Coturnix japonica: one gene and its partner. The protein of the gene in region 1 purifies or fractionates together with the protein of each later gene. This does not show direct contact. Links are inferred from orthologs where the notes say so. Each region holds a gene or a part of one and is shown on either strand. Other genes may lie near its edges.

Region 1 (3,818 bases):
AGGTGTCTGGATTCCAGTGAATTCTCAACTTTTTGGGGATTAGTAGTTTTGAGGACAGGAAAAGGTTTCTCCTTAGAGAAAAGCTGTGCAATTGTGCATGTTTGTTACGCTGGAAACATCCTTTAGAAATACAGCATGTTTACTTTTCAATTTAATCTTCTACTCCTAGATTAAAATTACACTTGAGAACTTACTCTTCAAGGAGGCTGTGGCATTTCTCATGTGAAGCCGGTTTTCCCATTTGCTTGTGTTTTTGCAGTTAATGTTCATTTCCAGTTGTTGAGAGTGTGAGTATGCAGGGCTCAGGAGATGCTTTAAAGCTTAGGGGGAAAAAAGGTGGACTGTGTGTGCTATGGTTATCAGAACTCTGGCTTAAAAAAATAATGCTGGTTAATGGACTAAATGGTTAATTCAACTTCATGAAACACAGTAGTGAAATCTATGGAGTGATTTTTGGAAGGAACATTTCTAACTGCTTATACGCTGATGTTATTTAAAGGCTCAAAAATTCAATAGTCGCTTTTGTTGAAGACTCTTTTCTTTGCAATAAAGAGCCATCTGTGCAGAAGGCTGACATATCTTTAGTACATTAGGGGGGAGCCCCTCTATTCGATGAGAGACAAGATGGAATTATTTTCTTTGAAATAACTTTTTAGGTTGTAGTAAAACTCGCTGTGTGCAATCTGAGAGGTAGGATATTTAAATAGCACAATCTTGCTTTGAGAGTTTAGCAAGTAATATTAAATGAAAAGTAAGTTCAGATGGTAAATTGTGCAAAGGAAATGTAGAATGCATCATTTCACTAGATAATCTCTGTCATCAGATGTTCATTTTTTTTCAGACTAAAACAAATGGTGGTACTTTTGCAGTCTGAGTATAGAATAGGATGCATACTGAAGCATAGTGACTTGTAGTAGATGCATTTGTGTATATTAGTCATTGCTTGGGAATATGTCTATATAGCTGATTAATCTGGAAATTTAAGCCAAAATAATTTGAAGACTTATATGAATTCCTTGTCAAATCTTTGCCTCCTTCTGACCACACAACTGCACGCTGCTTTTCAGTGTAACATGTTGTGATGTGTTTGGGTTCGTTTTCTTTCCTTTGTCAGCAAATGTGCAAGAAGCTGTAGTTACTTCAGAGTTTAGCAAGAAATGTGATGGAGTAAGCTTAATAGGATACACTTGGATGCAAGACTTCAGCGTTTCTGCTACTAAATGGCTTTGGAATATATTTCAGGGCTTTGACTTTGAACTGTTGTGCAGTTGATTCACTGTTAATCATGAGCTAGGATAAATGCGACTTGATTTTTATCTGCTAATAGATAAGAAATGTGAGTACTGGTGAGGCAGCTCTTAGAGTCAGGTGTTCTGTCTGTTTATTGAGACCAAGAAGTAATGGTGGTAAGTGCCCTAGCAATACTTAATAATAGTATCACTACAGACAAATGTCCCATTAATGTATAGTAGAGATATTCCAGATGTTCTGATCAGGACTTCCTTCCAGTTTGGTGATCATGATGATGATTTTGGCTCGGATTTTGAGATCTATATAGCAGTGTATATGCATTTTTCTTCAAATGAGTTACGGAAATAACTTTGCAGTTTGAGAAGGGATGGATATTGCTTATTAAAAGAAAAACGTGAGCTGGATGAGCAGAAAAGTTGCTAGCAAGTGGGTAGAGCTGGTTATTAATATCAGGTGTGGCTTAATTAGATCGTAGTTGAAGCAACTTTAGGAAGTTTGCAGGATTGATCTGTATTGACTTTATGCATCTGAGAGATCAGCAGTGCACCCTGCTGCAATGCCTGACAGTTCTGTGCAGCAATTCAGCAGCTGGTCTGGCATTTTCAAAGGAATTCATCAGACTTCTTTGTTATATCCGTATTCAGAATATACTTTCTTATATTCTCAATTTTGTCTATTTTGTCAATTAAATTGTCCATGATTTTCTGGCTCCTACTTTTTAGGTATAGATACAAAAACGTACAGCAACTAAACTGAAATATTGGATGTGTCTCATAGAGGCAAAATACATTACAGTTCTCAAACTTGTTAATATTGTAGCCAAAATGTGTGACTTTTTCTTACACCAATTATTAATGCAAGGGGAGAGGTGTTACTTAGAACTACTGGCGTTAAGATCAGGTACAATTTATACTGAATGTGTGCATCTTTAAAAACAAAATGCTTTTGGCTTTGCAATGGCATCTGTTGGCCATGTTTTTAGTGAAGGTGGAGATATACATCCAAGGCCATGTGTTGGTCCTGAAAGTAGAAATTGTAAGAAAGGTTAAAGCTTTCTCAAACATGACATAACTTTGGATCTTTTTAACATAATAATGCGATATGAACATAATACATACCTATGAGTGTAAGAAAGTAAATGATGTTTTCAGGATCTTGCATGTTTGTGATAAATGTGAAAAGGTTACTGTTTTAATTTCTGACCAAAATTAGGAAAACACAGGTTGTTCTTTTTCTCATCTGTTTTTGGTTCTGGTTTGTGTAATATTTCTGTGAATGATTGTTGTTATTATTTGATGATGTTTTTTAACTTCCAAAGCAGATTTAGAAGAAAGTATCAACGAACATGAATTGGAGCCTTCACCTCCCAAAGGAAAAAGGAGGGGTCGTAAGGGAAAGCCAAGAAAAACAAATTTAAAAGGGCAATCAGAAGACACTAGATCCACATCTTCACATGGCACAGACGAAATAGAAAGCAGTTCCTATGTAAGCAGTAAATATGCTAAACTTCTTAGAAGAGAGCGTTGTGTGTTTCTTCTTTGTGGATATAAGTGTAATTAAAATCTGCATTTGTCTGAGCCTCCAGCTGGTGGCCACAGGCTTTTGAAATTGCAACCTTATTTATAACCCAGCAGTATATTTTAGTTAAAATGTTTTTCTTTCAGAGAGACAGGTCTCCCCACAGAAGCAGCCCCAGTGATACAAAACCTAAATGTGGATTCTGTCATGCAGGTGAAGAAGAAAATGAAGCTAGAGGAAAGCTTCATATATTTAATGCCAAAAAGGCTGCAGCACACTATAAGTGTATGGTGAGTAACAGCTTTGTTGTTAATCAGTTTATTATGAGTTTTATCTGAATTGCTGTTTTAGGTTTTTTTACAGAGTCTTCACATGTAATTACATGTGGATGTTGTCTGCTTGCTGATGGTCTCTTTCAGTACTGAAGTGTTGTGAAATGTGCAATTCATTTATTTTCACTGCAGGCAATATGGATAAAAGTTGGCTGTGGGCTCGGAACCGGAATTAGTTCATTGAAGCTCCTTAGCATATTAAAAATGCTCTGTGAATGTCTAAAAGCATACATAGCACCTTTACTCCACAGGCATTCAGGCAAAATCCAGGAAGAATCAATGAACTCGATTCATTTTCTGACCAGAGGATCCGGGCTATGTGACTCAAGTAGGGAGTGAGCCATGGAAGTTCTAGAAAATTCATGCCTTTATAGATGATTGCGTTTGGAAAACTGTCATCTTGAAGAGAATCTGCTAATTTCAGTGCACTTGAGCAAATAGCACTGCCTTTCACATAATCAGTTTTGTGTATGAAGTAGTGATTTGTAGAATGGCCTCAGCAGTTTCTATTGTACTTCAAAGTGTATAAATACTCCAGGCAATCCAATTATTAGTGGTCTCCCTATAGCTGGCCTAACTAAACAGAGAGCTGGCATTCACCGGCAGTCTTGGGAAGGGAACAGAATACTCCTAAAGGGTTCACTGATACAGTAATTAATGACACTTCTTGTTTATTTCTTTATATTTTCATCATTTTTGTCTACTCCTTTTTGCTTT
Region 2 (4,302 bases), about 67 Mb from region 1:
TTAGTTTTTGTTTTTTGTTTTTGTTTTTTTTAAACAGAAGAAATTTCTGCCACGTACCTGAAATACTGACTAAAAGCAGCTAACACATTTTTGTGTGCTTTGAAGCAGACACCTTTCACCACCAACATGCAGTCACAGAGAAGACCCTGAATGCGTTGCTCGTGTAGCTGCTGGAGTAGATGACAACTGTGGCTAGCAACAGTGTCCATGCTAGAAAGTCACATTACCTACAACAAAATAAAACGCTAAAATGAATTTTAACTGTCAACTCGCAAAATGAATTGAGAACATGAGAACATTTGCACCGTTCTTTATCTCCTAAAGGAAACACCAGTTTAGACTTGTTATGTGAGCTCTGAAGACATTTCACAGCATCACTCACCAGTAGAAATACAGCAGCAGTTACAGAAAATATTGATTTCAATGAAGTATTTATTACAACAAAAAAGCTTCTGCAAAGATGTTCAAGCAGTGCTGCAAATATACTCATCTCTCTATCTACAGGAAACGCACTGCCAGCAATTTTAACAAGGTCATTATATCAGACCTATAAAACAGTAAGATTTGTATAGAACAGCCTCAGTTGCTTCTGGGCAGGGAGAACTCCGGATCAACACAGTATCACATTCACTGCTGTTAACAGCTAAGCATGTTTCTCACAGACCAGGTTAAAGTCTTTTAATTAACAAATAAAGCAGAAAAAAAAATCAAAATGCTTAAATGTGAGAAGAGCGCAGTTATCCCCATTTTCAGTTCTGATGAAGGGTTACAGTTCCCCATTTTAACACACTCCACTACCACACGTTTCCTTTCCATATTCAAGGGACATTGCACTGTACTTCATCCCTCTCCTTCATCTTTTTTTACCAGGCTTTAAAACAAACTAACCACACCTTTTGCTTGCCTCCCCCCGAACGCTTCACAAGGCCCTCAGCAACCCACGAATTCGGGCTTTCTCAGCAGCCAGATGTCTCGGTTTCCCTGAAGAATCATAGAATTACCCAGGTTGGAAAAGACCTTGAAGATCATCAAGTCCAACCGCAGTCTAACCATAGTACCCTAAGAAGGACACCCACGCAGAGCTACTCTCAAGCAAGAGCAGCTCACTGAGGGAGCAGCACACAGAGGGGACAGCGGAGAGCGGCACAGCCTGACAGACAACCAAGGCCATGCCCCAGCCCAGCTCATCCCGGCACTTACCGGCCGCAGTCACCGCGCAGCTCCATCCCATCATCAGCCCCACGCTCAGCCTCCACCCTCCGCTTCCGACGTCGCTCCTTCCGCTTCCGCTCTCTCTACGGCCCCGGACAGGCGGAAGCGGCAGCCGAGGCGGGTGCACGTGTGGCTGCGGTTGGCAGCAGTTGCGGTGAGGGGGAGTTAAACGGGTTAAACGGGGGAGATAAGAGTTAGAGTGCTTCTTTCTAATGGTGACAGCGGGGATCTCTTTGTCTCGCCAGGGGAGGAAAGAGATCGGCCCCATCCCATAGCAGCTGCTGACCCTCACCGCCATGGTCGTCTTCACGTGCAACGCGTGCGGGGAATCCGTGAAGAAAACGCAGGTTGAAAAGCACGTGAATGTTTGCAGGCACTGTGAGTGCCTGTCCTGCATGGACTGCGGCAAGGATTTCTGGTAGGTGGATGATGGCAAAGCTGCCCTGTTTGCTCCTCAGCACTTGTCCCACATCAAAGGTTCACTGTCAGCCCTTTCGAAGGGGAGTAAACTCTTGGAAAGGGCTGACAATAGCAGGACTAGGGGAAATGGTTTTAAGTTGAAAGAGGGAAGATTTAGTTTGGATGTCAGGGGAAGTTCTTCACTAGGAGAGTGGTTAGGCCCTGGAACAGGCTGCCCAGGGAGGTTGTGGATGCCCCGTCCTTGGAGGTGTTCAAGACCAGGTTGGACGGGGCCCTGGGCAACCTGATCTAGTAAAGGTGTATGTTTGGTGGCCCTGCCAGGCAGGGGGGTTGGAACTACATGATCCTTGAGGTCCCTTCCAACCCGGGTCATTCTGTGGTTCTGTGAACACTGTGGCACTGCACTCACTTATCCAGAGCATCCTTGTGCATCTCAGATCTCACCTGGACATCAGTATCAGACTGACAAGTGTCAGATAGCATTGATGTTGTTGCTGAGAAGACCATCAGCAGTAGACAAAGGTGTCTTTGGTACTGAGTGTATATATTAAGACCAGTTCTGCAGAGTAGATGCTGCTTCTGGTCATTGCTAGAGGTTATGTGAGGTTGGCAGTAACATCCAGAATTGTGAATTTGCCACTTTTCATAACTTAGAAGACAGTAGTGCTAGTATCTGCTTTTTAAATATGGATGTATGAATTTGCAGAAGAAAGTAAGCTCATCCTCAAATAATCACAAAGTTATAGAATGGCTTAGGTTGGAAGGGACCTTAAATATCATTCAGTTCCTGCCCCCTGCCATGGTTGCCAGCTGCTAGATCAGGCACCACATCAAGTTGCTCAGGGTCCCATCCAACCTGGCCTTGAACACCTCCAGGGATGGAGCATCCAGAGCTTCTGTTTATCTCCCTCAGTCCTTTATCAACAAAAAAGTTGTTATTCATTTCTTTTTGAGAGGCCACACACGTTGGTCAGAACTGCATTACTGCATGAGTGTATCCCCATTCAATTTAAGCAGTCTTACAAGGTGGTACTTTAACCATGTTGAACTTTTATCATATAAGCGTTGACAGTATTGAGGCTTAAACAACAGATGCTGTTACTTCAATGTGTTGGTTACTGAGTCTGTTTGGAGGACTGAGCACTTCAGTGAACTACGGTTGAAAATCTGTGTTCAGGGGTGATGACTATAAGGACCATGTGAAGTGTGTAACTGAAGATGAGAAGTATGGAGGAAAAGATTTTGAAGCCAAAACTAGTAAAGGAGATGCTAAACAACAGGAGTGGCTTCAGGTAAGGTGTATACTGATATAATAAGTAACTCTTGGTTGTTGAACTGACTGTGGGTTACTGAAGCTGTTCGTCACTGATTTCATCCTGGTTTTCTTCATTCAGAAAATTCACGAAGTAATGAAGAAACCCAATATAAACCCTAAGGTGCGAAACATTCTGGAGCAAATGCGTTCCTTTGGTAATATTCCAAGGAAAAAAGTAAAATTTCAGGTATGTTTTAAGAGCTTTGTAGTAATTGTACTTTAAAAATAGACTTTCCCAGCGTCACTCTCTTTCAAGAAAGGTGGGACAAATTGTTTTATTTTGAGCATCAGGAAGTGGATGATGTTATGGACAAGTTTTAAATAGGAGGTGTTTCTAAATTATTTCTCATTTCATAAAAGGTGTCTAAATGCAGTTTGTCTAACTGCAGTTTTAATTATTCATTAGGCCAGAGACTCACAAAGTTGTCTCCCAGACTTAGGGATTAAGATTGGATGTGTAGGCTTGTACTGTTTGTTATAGGGAGTTTTCCTGTTGATTAGCATTCTGATTCCCCCTCCCACACAGAGTACTTGATTGTTCTGTGCTTCCCAACCACAGCAGACTCCAAATGCTTTATGTGGTATCTGTAAAGAATTACAAGTTGGCCTTTCCTCCACTTCATTTTGTGTCTCAATTTGTAAAGCTGAGAGAAAATCATGACTGCTTCTAGGTGATTCAGATAGGATGTAATAGAACTGGTGTGAAATTGCTGCCAGAGCCAGCCAGAAGGTTAGACTAGTTTGACAAAATTAACCAAAATGTTCTAAGCCAAGGAAGTTCCATTTTCAAGAAGCTTTCTTCTTTTTGGTAAGATATTGCATTGAAAGATCAAGTTTTTGCAGTACATTATTCCAGTTTACCAGTGAAGCCTTTCCAGGTGTCCCTAAAGGATTATTTGTCTGTAGTGAAACAAAGAACAGATCCTTAATATTTTGGCTCATACCAACAATCAGAAGGTTTACTAGCTCTGTTCAAAAGCTTGAGGATATCATTTTCTGTATCATTCTGAATCATTGAATCACAAAGTTGGAAAGGACCTACAGGATCATGTAGTCCAACCGTCCTCCCATTACCGTTGCTAACACAATTGATCTCATCTGGATTATTGTTGGTGAGGCAATTGACAGGCATGGCATAGACTTTTAACTATATGCTACACAAAACAAATTAGCGTTGGGTTTTAAGGGATTCGTAGAGGATAAACATCGAACCAGATATTCATCATGCAAAATAACAAAATTCTTAAATTTAAGAATGAATTATATGGTAGTGAGGAGAAGAAAAAAGGAAAAGGAGGCACGCTTTTTAAAGTTATTGGGATTGTGTTCGTTTTCTTTCCTGCACAGAACTGGAT

What was found.
Region 2: the proteins of PHF6 (region 1) and LYAR purify together in Homo sapiens (affinity purification with mass spectrometry; 3 studies listed by BioGRID and IntAct, with this or other methods). This does not show direct contact. The link is inferred for Coturnix japonica from reciprocal best matches to the Homo sapiens genes PHF6 and LYAR.

What each region holds. Positions count from the first base shown.
Region 1 is NC_029519.1:3,896,101-3,899,918, forward strand, and holds part of PHF6 (PHD finger protein 6), read left to right. Parts: intron 1-2,569; coding exon 2,570-2,736; intron 2,737-2,915; coding exon 2,916-3,059; intron 3,060-3,818.
Region 2 is NC_029519.1:71,297,968-71,302,269, reverse strand, and holds the start of LYAR (cell growth-regulating nucleolar protein), read left to right. Parts: upstream 1-1,271; 5' UTR 1,272-1,366; exon of another isoform or gene 1,367-1,457; 5' UTR 1,458-1,508; coding exon 1,509-1,630; intron 1,631-2,809; coding exon 2,810-2,924; intron 2,925-3,026; coding exon 3,027-3,134; intron 3,135-4,294; coding exon 4,295-4,302. Other genes in the region: ZBTB49 (zinc finger and BTB domain-containing protein 49), read right to left, coding at 58-209. UniProt on the Homo sapiens protein: Plays a role in the maintenance of the appropriate processing of 47S/45S pre-rRNA to 32S/30S pre-rRNAs and their subsequent processing to produce 18S and 28S rRNAs. Also acts at the level of transcription regulation.